Pelodiscus sinensis: one gene and its partners. The protein of the gene in region 1 interacts with the protein of each later gene in a biochemical or structural test. Links are inferred from orthologs where the notes say so. Each region holds a gene or a part of one and is shown on either strand. Other genes may lie near its edges.

The links. The genes of interacting proteins can lie anywhere in the genome.
Region 2: the proteins of UBC (region 1) and UBE2V1 form a complex in vitro, tested with the Homo sapiens proteins (3 studies listed by BioGRID, with this or other methods). The link is inferred for Pelodiscus sinensis from reciprocal best matches to the Homo sapiens genes UBC and UBE2V1.
Region 3: the proteins of UBC (region 1) and KLHL7 form a complex in vitro, tested with the Homo sapiens proteins (2 studies listed by BioGRID, with this or other methods). The link is inferred for Pelodiscus sinensis from reciprocal best matches to the Homo sapiens genes UBC and KLHL7.

The regions. Positions count from the first base shown.
Region 1 is NC_134731.1:3,492,026-3,495,625, reverse strand, and holds UBC (polyubiquitin-C), read right to left. Parts: upstream 2,697-3,600; 5' UTR 2,538-2,696; intron 1,826-2,537; 5' UTR 1,820-1,825; coding exon 446-1,819; 3' UTR 303-445; downstream 1-302.
Region 2 is NC_134728.1:19,381,104-19,384,923, forward strand, and holds the start of UBE2V1 (ubiquitin-conjugating enzyme E2 variant 1), read left to right. Parts: upstream 1-1,574; 5' UTR 1,575-1,708; coding exon 1,709-1,730; intron 1,731-3,820. UniProt on the Homo sapiens protein: Has no ubiquitin ligase activity on its own. The UBE2V1-UBE2N heterodimer catalyzes the synthesis of non-canonical poly-ubiquitin chains that are linked through Lys-63.
Region 3 is NC_134712.1:199,306,078-199,309,897, reverse strand, and holds the start of KLHL7 (kelch-like protein 7), read left to right. Parts: upstream 1-1,530; 5' UTR 1,531-1,949; coding exon 1,950-2,069; intron 2,070-3,820. UniProt on the Homo sapiens protein: Substrate-specific adapter of a BCR (BTB-CUL3-RBX1) E3 ubiquitin ligase complex. The BCR(KLHL7) complex acts by mediating ubiquitination and subsequent degradation of substrate proteins. Probably mediates 'Lys-48'-linked ubiquitination.

The DNA of each region.
Region 1 (3,600 bases):
GGCATGTTCCTTTCTTTAGAGTAGGCTTTAAGTTTTACTAAGCAGAGAGGCATAACTGAGAATGCCTACTATGAAAAGGGGACCAGAACCTCCTTTCCTGTCTCAAATGTATTGGAATTAGTATATCAATGAATTTTCCCCATTATAATTAAGTTGAGGATTTCATTACTTTGTATATTCTGATCTAAAAAGTAAACTCAAGACCAGAATTAGTACCTAAGCCTCCACATACCACTCCATGGAACACAATCAGATTAAAACTGGTAATTGGGTAAGTACTGCATAGTTTCACAAAGACCATATAATGTGCAACAAAAACCTTTATTAGCATACACTGTTCAGCATTTACTGAAACTTGCAGTTAACTTACAATATTAAGACATTGACGGGCTACAGTGCAAAACAAATGCTATTGGCAATCTTGTAAAGGAAGAGCCACAATAACTTAACAGCCACCTCTCAGACGCAGCACAAGATGGAGGGTGGACTCCTTCTGGATGTTGTAGTCAGACAGGGTGCGGCCATCCTCCAGCTGCTTGCCAGCAAAGATCAGCCTCTGCTGGTCAGGGGGGATGCCTTCTTTGTCCTGGATCTTGGCTTTCACATTCTCAATAGTGTCACTGGGTTCAACCTCTAGGGTGATGGTCTTGCCAGTCAGGGTCTTCACAAAGATCTGCATACCACCTCTCAGACGCAGCACAAGATGGAGGGTGGACTCCTTCTGGATGTTGTAGTCAGACAGGGTGCGGCCATCTTCCAGCTGCTTGCCGGCAAAGATCAGCCTCTGCTGGTCAGGAGGGATGCCTTCTTTGTCCTGGATCTTGGCTTTCACGTTCTCAATGGTGTCACTGGGTTCAACCTCTAGGGTGATGGTCTTGCCAGTCAGGGTCTTCACAAAGATCTGCATACCACCTCTCAGACGCAGCACAAGATGGAGGGTGGACTCCTTCTGGATGTTGTAGTCAGACAGGGTGCGGCCATCTTCCAGCTGCTTGCCAGCAAAGATCAGTCTCTGCTGGTCAGGGGGGATGCCTTCTTTGTCCTGGATCTTGGCTTTCACGTTCTCAATGGTGTCACTGGGCTCCACCTCTAGGGTGATGGTCTTGCCAGTCAGGGTCTTCACAAAGATCTGCATACCACCTCTCAGACGCAGCACAAGATGGAGGGTGGACTCCTTCTGGATGTTGTAGTCAGACAGGGTGCGGCCATCTTCCAGCTGCTTGCCGGCAAAGATCAGCCTCTGCTGGTCAGGAGGGATGCCTTCTTTGTCCTGGATCTTGGCTTTCACGTTCTCAATGGTGTCACTGGGTTCAACCTCCAGGGTGATGGTCTTGCCAGTCAGGGTCTTCACAAAGATCTGCATACCACCTCTCAGACGCAGCACAAGATGGAGGGTGGACTCCTTCTGGATGTTGTAGTCAGACAGGGTGCGGCCATCTTCCAGCTGCTTGCCAGCAAAGATCAGTCTCTGCTGGTCAGGGGGGATGCCTTCTTTGTCCTGGATCTTGGCTTTCACGTTCTCAATGGTGTCACTGGGCTCCACCTCTAGGGTGATGGTCTTGCCAGTCAGGGTCTTCACAAAGATCTGCATACCACCTCTCAGACGCAGCACAAGATGGAGGGTGGACTCCTTCTGGATGTTGTAGTCAGACAGGGTGCGGCCATCTTCCAGCTGCTTGCCAGCAAAGATCAGCCTCTGCTGGTCAGGGGGGATGCCTTCTTTGTCCTGGATCTTGGCTTTCACATTCTCAATGGTGTCACTGGGCTCCACCTCTAGGGTGATAGTCTTGCCAGTCAGGGTCTTCACAAAGATCTGCATGGTGAACTGTACAAAGAACGAGAAAAATGTTCAGCTTCCCATAATGATCAACTTGCTACAAAACAGGACAAAAACCCAGACCCCAAAAGCTTCCCACTAACACTGCAGTACAAAAAGTGACTCAAGATATGCCAGTAAAGAAAGTCTTGGAAATATTTTGGAGACACAAATCTCCCAGTCCTGTTTCCTGGAGTCTCAACACCAAGATGGTGCTGGCTTAAAGCACAACATCTCCTGCCCACAAAGGGAGTCTGAGCTGAGCAAGATCGAGCCTGGACCCAAATGCTCCCTCCCCCGCCCCCACCAGGGAACTAAGCGCGAGGCTTATAATGGGGGAGGGGAAGAAAAAAAACCGCGCGGCCATCTTCCCACCCCCACTCTCTGGGACTTTTACCGTCCCGGCCGCCCCGCACCCCCACGGCGGCTCGGCCCCATCCCCCTCTGCGCGACGGGCGCCGCTTACGGCATGTGGGGGCCACCCCGTTTCCCGCCCAGTCACAATGCGCGCCCGTGACTCGCGCCCTTCTCTTCCGGGAAGGCGAGCGAATGGCGCCGCGCAGCCCCCGCCATCTTAGGCCGGGGCCCCTCGCGCCCAACCGCCTTCCCCACACAGAGCAGGGCCGAGTTAATACCCCGCCGCGCGCGCAGGCCGCTCTCCGCGCCACTGTCCTCATCGCCCTCCCGCTCACATCCTGCCGAGGTGCCCCCCAGCGCCTACCGTTAGCCCGGACGCTCGTCTAGAAAACCGAAAAAATTTGCTTCACAAAGGCTGACTTTACCCCGCTACTACGAAACCGCACTGCTACAGGGTGTCTCCGCCCGCTCCTATTTATGGGACGGGTGACGCAGTCGACGCACGCAGTCACGCCCCGCTAGTATCAGTGCGCTGCAGAAAATAGTTCCCAGCGGTGGGCCTGCATCCAGGGGAAATAGGGGTCCTTCCTCCTCCCGGAACCTTTTTGGACGTCTCAAAGCTACGCCCTGTCCCCTTCTCGGCCAAATCCACCGCTCTCCCTCCGAATAACCGAAGTCTCCGAGGCGCGGAGGGATTTTTGCCACGGTGAGAAGGCTGCCAGACCGCTCTGGAAGCTTCGCAACCCCTGAGGACGGTAGGCGGGGTTCTGGCACTGATCGACACTGATTGGGTGCGGAGGGGGCGAGACTGGTCGTTGATTGGCTCCCAGAGGAGTCTAGGGAGAAAGCTCTGGAAGAGCCGGGGGGGAAGGGGCGAGCGGTGCTGGCCGCTGATTGGCGCGGGGTGAGGTAAGCCTTGTTGCTAAGGGGCGCGACTCGGTGGAGCAGATTTCGGGAGCGGCGCTGCCGCAGTGGGGGAGGGGCCTGGTCTCTCAGGCGGGAACCGTCTCATGCGGGGGGAGGGGGACTCCACAAGGGAGGCCAACGGCTCTGGGAGGGAGGGATGGCTACAGTGCCCCCAGCAGCCAGGTTGGGGAAGCCCCCCTCCTGCCTGGACCAGCGGCCATTCGTGCCAGGGCGAAGAGCATCCAGCCTCTTGCAGGGCCGGCTTCGCGGGGGGCTGTGCCTGGCGCCATTTGAACCGGGCGCCGCCACCCGACGGGCCGTGGGCAACCGAGGCGCGTGAGCAGGCGGCAGGAGCGGCTCGTCCTCTCAGGGGCCGCAAGACTGTCGCAAGCGAGGCGGCCTCCCGCGAGAGGGTAGTTTTGCCAACTGTGCCTGTGTCCCTGGAGTTGGCGGGATGAGCCGACGGACCCGTCGCAGCGCTTCGACCGGACGCACGCGGCTCTCACAATGGCCCGTGCCGT
Region 2 (3,820 bases), on another chromosome or scaffold:
CCTGCCTCTGTGCGGGTCGGCAGCCCCTGCCCTGGTTCTCCCTCAATCCCGGCCACCAGAGGTTGGGCTGGGCTGAGGACATGGCTGGCCCGGCTCTCTTCCCTCTGGCTGCTGGGGGGTTGGGCAAGGCCATGCGACTGGCCTGGCTCTCTTCCTCCTGCCGTGAGGCGGGAGGGTATGCAGCTGCCCCGGTTCTCTCCCTCCGGCTGTGAAGGGGGAGGGCACATGGTTCACAGCTCTCCCTCCCCGTAAGGGTGGAGTGCTCGTGGCTCTGGGGGAGCAGCACGATTTAAAACTCCAGCAGCTGCCCGCAACATGGTGGCTGCCAGAGGTACAGCCAGCCCCAGTCACAACTCAGGGCCAGGGTGTCCCACAGTCTGGGCCCCACTCCTGCAGCAGGCCGTTCTGCTGGCCCCCTCACCCGCTGCTGGAGCACCATAATTTTCCTCCTTCCCCCACCCCACACAAGCCTAGCAGCAGGAGCAGCTTATCTTCAGTGCTGCTGCTGCCTAGGAGCCATAGGTTGCTGATCCCTGCCGGGTTAGCAGTGGGGAGGAGGGAGGAAAGTAGGAGGCGGGGTGGTGGATGATGTCATGTCACTCAGTCATCCCACAGCAAAATATATATATATATATATATATATATATATATATAAATAAAAGATGAGCTTTTGTGAGTAAAACCTGCTTCATCAGATACTGTGGTGGTGGCTGGAGGTGGTAGGCCAGGGACCCTAGTGTGAGGGGGACTGTGGGTCCCAATTCAGGCAGATGAGGTTCTGGGAGATGACTCATCTGATGAAGTGGGTTTTACTCATAAAAGCTCATGATCATATTTATAGATTTTAATAGTCTCATAGCTATGGGCGAGTAGATTACACTAATTGTTGAGCCCTGCTCATAGCACCATCTAAACGTTTTGTTAGTCTTTAAAGTGCTACTAGACTATTTGTTGTTTTTTAAGTTTTTCCTGTTACTGATTAACTGAGCTACGCCTCTGAATCGTTAGTATCTGAGATGCCACAGGAGTACTTATTGCCTCTATCGATACAGGCTTTGTTCCCTTATGTATGGTAGCTGCACTATCCCCTGCTCACTGGGGTGCTGATGATGGAAACCATATATTTTGGGTTTATTACAATTTCAAGCCAGAGGCCTGCAGCACTCCTAGTTCCAATACCACTGCCTATAGATGCCAGTACAGATATTCCCTTCATCCCTGACAGATTGCTGTGGTGCACTTATCTCCCCTATAGAGTCCATGCTCTCTCTAGTCTGCTGCCTGCAGTAGGTATTAATATACCTATCTCATAGGGCTTGAAAGGGACCCTTATGGCAGGGCCAAGTACTATACCATCCCTGACCAATTTGCCCCAGATCCCTAAATGGCCTCCTCAAGGATTAAAGTCACAAGCCCGGCTTTAGCAGGCCAATGCTCAAACCACTGATCTCTCCCTCCCCTGTCTAACAACTTGTTCTGAAACTCACATACAGCACGCCCGACCGCGGGTCTAATTTCCCACCCACGATATCTGCCTCTAGAAATCTAGCTCCCACGGGTCAGCCCGCCCAGCTCACCGGTCCTTTCTTCCTGCGCCCGCCTGCACCGCCTCCCGTCAGCCCCCGGACTCGCTTACCGCCGCACTTCCCGCGTTACGGTGACGTGGGCGGGAGGAAGGCCGGGCTAGTCGGAGCGACAGCGGCGCAAGATGGCGGCCACCACGGGCTCGGGTGAGCGGGGCTCGGGTGGCCGAGGCCGGGCCGGGGAGGAGGGGCTCGCCGCCGGAGGCGGGGCAGCTGGTACCGGCGGACGCGGCGGTGACCGGCTTTGGCCCAGCGGGCTCCCGTGAACGGGGGCTCGCCGGCGGGGCGTGTCTGCTGGGGCGGCGGCGGCTTAGGGGCGCTAGGCCGGGAGCCCCAGTCCGGGCGTGTGAGGTTCCGAGCGAAGAGGCCCTGGGGGTGTCTGGGGACTGCAGGGGAAGGGTGACAGTGGGGTGCCGGCTGGAGATGGGGGTGCTGGGCTGGAGGGGGCTTCCTTGTGTGCTGGGTGCGGTGTCCATGGGCAGAAGGGCGTTCTGGGGGTGCTGGGCTGGAGGGGGCTTCCTTGTGTGCTGGGGTGCAGTATCCATGGGCAGAAGGGCGTTCTGGGGGTGCTGGGCTGGAGGGGGCTTCCTTGTGTGCTGGGTGCGGTGTCCATGGGCAGAAGGGCGTTCTGGGGATGCTTGGCTGGAGGGGGCTTCCTTGTGTGCTGGGGTGCAGTATCCATGGGCAGAAGGGCGTTCTGGGGGTGCTGGGCTGGAGGGGGCTTCCTTGTGTGCTGGGGTGCAGTATCCATGGGCAGAAGGGTGTTCTGGGGGTACTAGTTAGAGGGGGGCTGCCTTGTGTGCTGGGGTGCAGTATCCATGGGCAGAAGGGCGTTCTGGGGGTGCTGCCTTGTGTGTCAGGATGGGGCATTTTCGAGAACAGGGAGCATTCTGGATTCCATAACCTAGAGGAGGAATGCCATGTGTGCCAGGCTGGGTGTCTTTGCAGGGGATAAGGTTATGGGAGTACCAGGCTGAGAAATGGCAAGATGGTAGGTTGTCGGGAAAACCAGGCTGGAGGAGAATAAGGATGACTTGTTCCAAGTTGGGAGGATGTTCTTGACTGCTTCTCCTTTACCCTTAACCTGATTTCTTCTTCTCAAGCATTCAACCCTACTTTGTCTTTTATTCTTTCTGGCTATGTCTAGACTGGCCCCTTCTCTGGAAGAGGCATGCAAAGTAGGCAAGTCAAATAGGGAAATCCGCGGGGGATTTAAATATCCCCCACGGGATTTAAATAAACATGGCCGCCGCTTTTTTTCCGGCTTGGGGAAAAGCCGGAAAAGAGCGTCTAGACTGGCGCAATCCTCCGGAATAAAGCCCTTTTCCAGAGGATCTCTTATTCCTACTTGCAAGTAGGAATAAGTGATCCTCCGGAAAAGGGCTTTATTCCGGAGGATCGCGCCAGTCTAGACGCTCTTTTCCGGCTTTTCCCCAAGCCGGAAAAAAAGCAGCGGCCATGTTTATTTAAATCCCCTGCGGATTTCCCTATTTGACTTGCCTGCTTTGCATGCCTCTTCCGGAGAAGGGGCCAGTCTAGACGTAGCCTCTGAGTATATTCTTTCCAGATTAAAAGGGCTGTTGGAATAAACCTGAAGTTACTGAAGGTTGGTCGTAATTGGGCATTTGTATTGTCATCATAGTTATGAAAGTGAGGGGTGTAAAAAATCTGTGTACTTGAGAGACATAGCTATACAGGCAGTCCCCGGGTTACGTACAAGATAGGGACTGTAGGTTTGTTCTTAAGTTGAATCTGTATGTAAGTCGGAACTGGCGTCCAGATTCAGCCGCTGCTGAAACTGATCAGTTTCAACAGCGGCTGAATCTGGATGCCAGTTCTGGCTTACATACAGATTCAACTTAAGAACCCCAGGTGTCCCCAAGTCAGCTGCTGCTGAAACTGATCAGCAGCTGATTCCAGGAAGCCGGGGGCAGAGCAACTCTGCCTCGGGCTTCCTGTAGTCAGCCGCTGGTCAGTTTCAGCAGCGACTGACTTGGGGACGCCTGGGGCAGAGCAGCTGGGGTGCTGCCGGGTTGGTCCAGTAGCGCCGAGGAGCGGTGCTGCGGGACCAACCCAGCAGCGCCCCGGATGTTCTACCGTGGGCAGAAAAGCCTGGTCTGCTGGGAGGGAGGGGGCACTAGCTGAGCCCCCCCTCCAGCAGACCAGGGAGACGCGGAGCAAAGCTGCGGAGGAAGCCTGCAACGGGACAGCCCAGACGCGCCGCTGCTGTCCCACTG
Region 3 (3,820 bases), on another chromosome or scaffold:
AATGTGCTGCAGCAGCCAAAAAAGCAATGTTAAGAATCATTCAGAAAGGGATAGAGAAAAAGAGCATATTTTATTGCCTTTGTTATATAAATCCATGGTACACTTACATCTTGAATACTGAGTGCAGATGTAGTCACCTCACCTCAAAAAGATGTCTTGAAATCGAAAAAAGTTCAGAAATGGGCAAAAATGATTAGGGATATGGAAAGGCTGCCATATGTGGACAGATTAATAATACTGGAACTTTTCAACTTGGAAAAGAGACAACCAAGGGGGCATATGATATAGGTCTATAAAATCACAACTGGTATGAAAAAAATTGAATGAAGTTATTTATTCCTTCCCATAATACAAGAACTAGGGGTCACCAAATGAAATTAATAGGTTGCAAATTTAAAACAAACAGAAGGAAGTACTCCACACAACACGCTGTCAACGTGTGGAACTCCATGCCAGAGGATGTTGTTAAGTCCAAAACTACAACAGGATTCAAAAAAGAGCTAGATAGATTCATGGAGGATAAGGCCATCAATGGCTATTAGCTAGGATGGGCAGGACTGTTATCCTTAGCCTTTTCAGAAGCTGGGAAACAGCGATATGGGTAGATCACTTGATGATTGTTTAGTCTGTTCATTCCCTGTGGGGCACCTGGCATTGGCCACTGTCAGAAGACAGAATACTGAGCTAGACAGACCTTTGGTCTAACACAGTCGGGCCGTTCTTATATTCTTATCTCGATTTGTCCTCCACTATGGTCACTATCACCCAAGTCAGCTGCTATTATGAGATTTTCACCACTTAGGACCAAAATATCAGAAGAATAGAGCTCATGTTCTTTTCTGGGTTTGATTTTGCTCTGAAACTAAAACTTTACAAACAGGTATTTGCATACCCTGATTAGTGTTTTTTGAGGCTAGATTAAAAAAAAGGGAGGAGAGCTAAGAAGGAGCTACCCTAGTTCTTAACCTTTGCAGGACAAACATGATTGAGACTACCATGTGGCTATTTCCCTATCTGCAGGGGTGCGGTGCCAAGATGCTCTGGGCTGGACTGGTGAGTGCCCAAGTAGTGACTTTTTCTTCTTCTTCCATAAAAGGCAATAGGATGTGGATTGTGGGAGCTGGGAACAAAAACCGTTATCAAAAACTAGTTTTTACCTCTCCCCGTAACACTGCACTGCCTCCGAAGCTCTGCAGCTGGCAGTAGCTCAGATAGCGCGGGCTTTGCAGAGCGACTTTCCCAGCCCGCAGCCTCATAGGCGAGCACACACCAGCTACATTACGACCGACCCTGCCTATAAGGGACCTCAAGACAGCAACAGTCCCGCCGGCCGTGCGCGTGCGCCCTCCTTTCGCTCGCCCCTGTTCATAAACCAATCACATGACCCGTTCCGCCTCCTGCTCCTTTGTTTGTTTTTCTCCGGAACGCCTGAAGGCGACGGGCGTTCCGGAGAAAAACAAACAAAGGAGGGGCGGGGCGAAGAAGACTAGAACGAGACACCGCGCTGTTCTATGACGTCATTGTGCGCCGGTCCGCTCGCCTTTGAGAATTATGTAGGATACTCCTCAGGAGCTCGCGTTCTACCTATGGAACGCTGGCAATAGATGTATCGCGCGCCCCCAGCCCCGGAGCGCTGCAGACGCGGCGGGCCCTAGGCTGCATTCCCAGGAGTCTGCGCTACGGGCTGCTTGTCCCCGCGGCTGCTTCTGGGGTTCGATCAGCCCTGCTGCTCCGGCTGCCGCGGCAGGTGGTTACCCAAGCGGCTCGCCCTGTGGGCTGCCTGGTTGCAGAAGCAGCAGGAAATTCTGCGACGGTGCAACCTCCTCGTCAGTCTGGGATCTTGGCTGGGGCCGTTGGGCTGTCTTATAATTTGCTTCCATTGGCTGCTGTGCATGGGCCTGTCTGGGTCCTGCAAGCCCTTGTTTTCTTAGTGGTGAGAGGAGGGGAGCATGGCAGCCTCTGCATCAGAAAAAAGCAACAAGAAGAAAACAGAGAAGAAACTTGCCGCCCGAGAAGAAGCTAAGCTGCTGGCGAGCTTTATGGGAGTCATGAATACCATGCGAAAACAGGTAGGGCAAGAGATACAGCTTGAAAGAGCAGAACGTTCTTTGTTCTTTCGCTGTTTGTGATGAAGTCTGCCCTAAAAGAACCAATGTCCAATGTCTAGTAGGAAACTTCACCACCCCTCAGTCTCAGTAAACTGATCTAACCTTAGGTTTCCTAGTAATTGTAGGTAGAACATGTCATCGTTAGTCCTCTGTTTTTTGATACACGTGTGGTCTTTCAGTGGCTTCACTGCTAGCTTTGAATATAACACATTAAGCTGTACTTAAGTAAGCTATCCAAGGTCTGAATTCTTGTTTCTGTTTTACAAGCACCAAGACTTTAACTTTCCCGAGGGTGCATATCCTATCAGATGTTGAACCGAGAAATCCTGCAAACCCACTTGTATTTCCTAGACTTTTATCTTTAATACACGAGGTATCTTCCTGCCTATATGTTGATTGCCAATACATCTTTCAGTGGTACTTTGTTAAACCACTATCTCCTCTTAATTAGTTTAGTAGGACATTCACCAATTCAGAGTTTGAGTCCAGCCAAAGTTAATTTCTCAACTAGGCTTTTGTAGTATCCTTTTATTAAATGAGTATGTTCATATAGAATAATCTAGAGATCTTGTGGCACTTTTTTAGGAAGGGATTTTGTCCATCCCTATTTAATCCATGTACATACTGGTTTTTGATAGGAAGATGTCACAAAAGATACACAAATAGTCTTAACACCCAGCATGCTTTGAGCATTATAAAAAATAATAAATAATTGCTAACATACGTATGTGGTGTGACATAGTAAGCATCCTCATGTATTGAAAGTTCTGTTATTGTTATGCGGTGTTGCTGATACTAAAACAGGAAGAGTTACTGTAGTGGGTCCACTTTCTTATTTGAGGTTTTCTTTGCAGTAAGCCAAAAAGTCAAATATGGATAGAGGGCTGAGTTATTTTGGTTGAAACTGTACTAACACAAACTTCTTTCAGAGACTGTTGAAATTGAAGTGGATATGCACAGTCAAAGTCTTTATGCCTGGTGTAGACGGAACAGGTGATGGGTATTTTTAACATGTATTCATCCACTGTGGAGAGGAAATACAACTCTTGCCCATTAAATCAGTTGAGATGATTCTGCTAGAACTCAGGTAGCAACTTTACAAATAAATTCACCAAAATGTTGTGTTTCGTGTGCAACATGGCTGCTTACTTCAGAAGCCCATGCTCATGTTTGTAGCCTGATCGATACTACTGAGTCTGTCTCTGTTCTTCTGAATTGTTGTATGCTGGCTCGAGCCTTGTCTTCAGGTTGATCAGCCTCCCAGGCCAATAACCTGATGGGCAGCCAGGTTGCCTGTCACTTGGTGAACACAGTTTCATTGTCCAATATCTTGACTCTAGAACTGGCTTTCTGATAAACTGTCAGAGTTCATGAAGTGCCACTACTGGGGAAAAAATTAACCTTTGCAAGTTTGGTGCAAGAGCATCCAGATAACTAAAACGATTGATTCCCTGATGCAAAGGAAGACCTATTTCTTTTTTCTGTGAGGAAGTTAATCAGAATCTATATAAAATGTAGGACAGGAAGAGACCTTGATAGGTCACCTAGTCCAGTTCCCTGTACTGCTTCAGGACTAAGTATTAGCTATATCAGCAGTTCCCAACCACCGGTCCGGGTACTGGTGGTGGGCCACCAACTTGCTGAGCAACACACTCTGCCAGGCCACGCCTCCAGCTGCTAATGAGCCCTTCCTGCTGGGGAACTCCATTCCC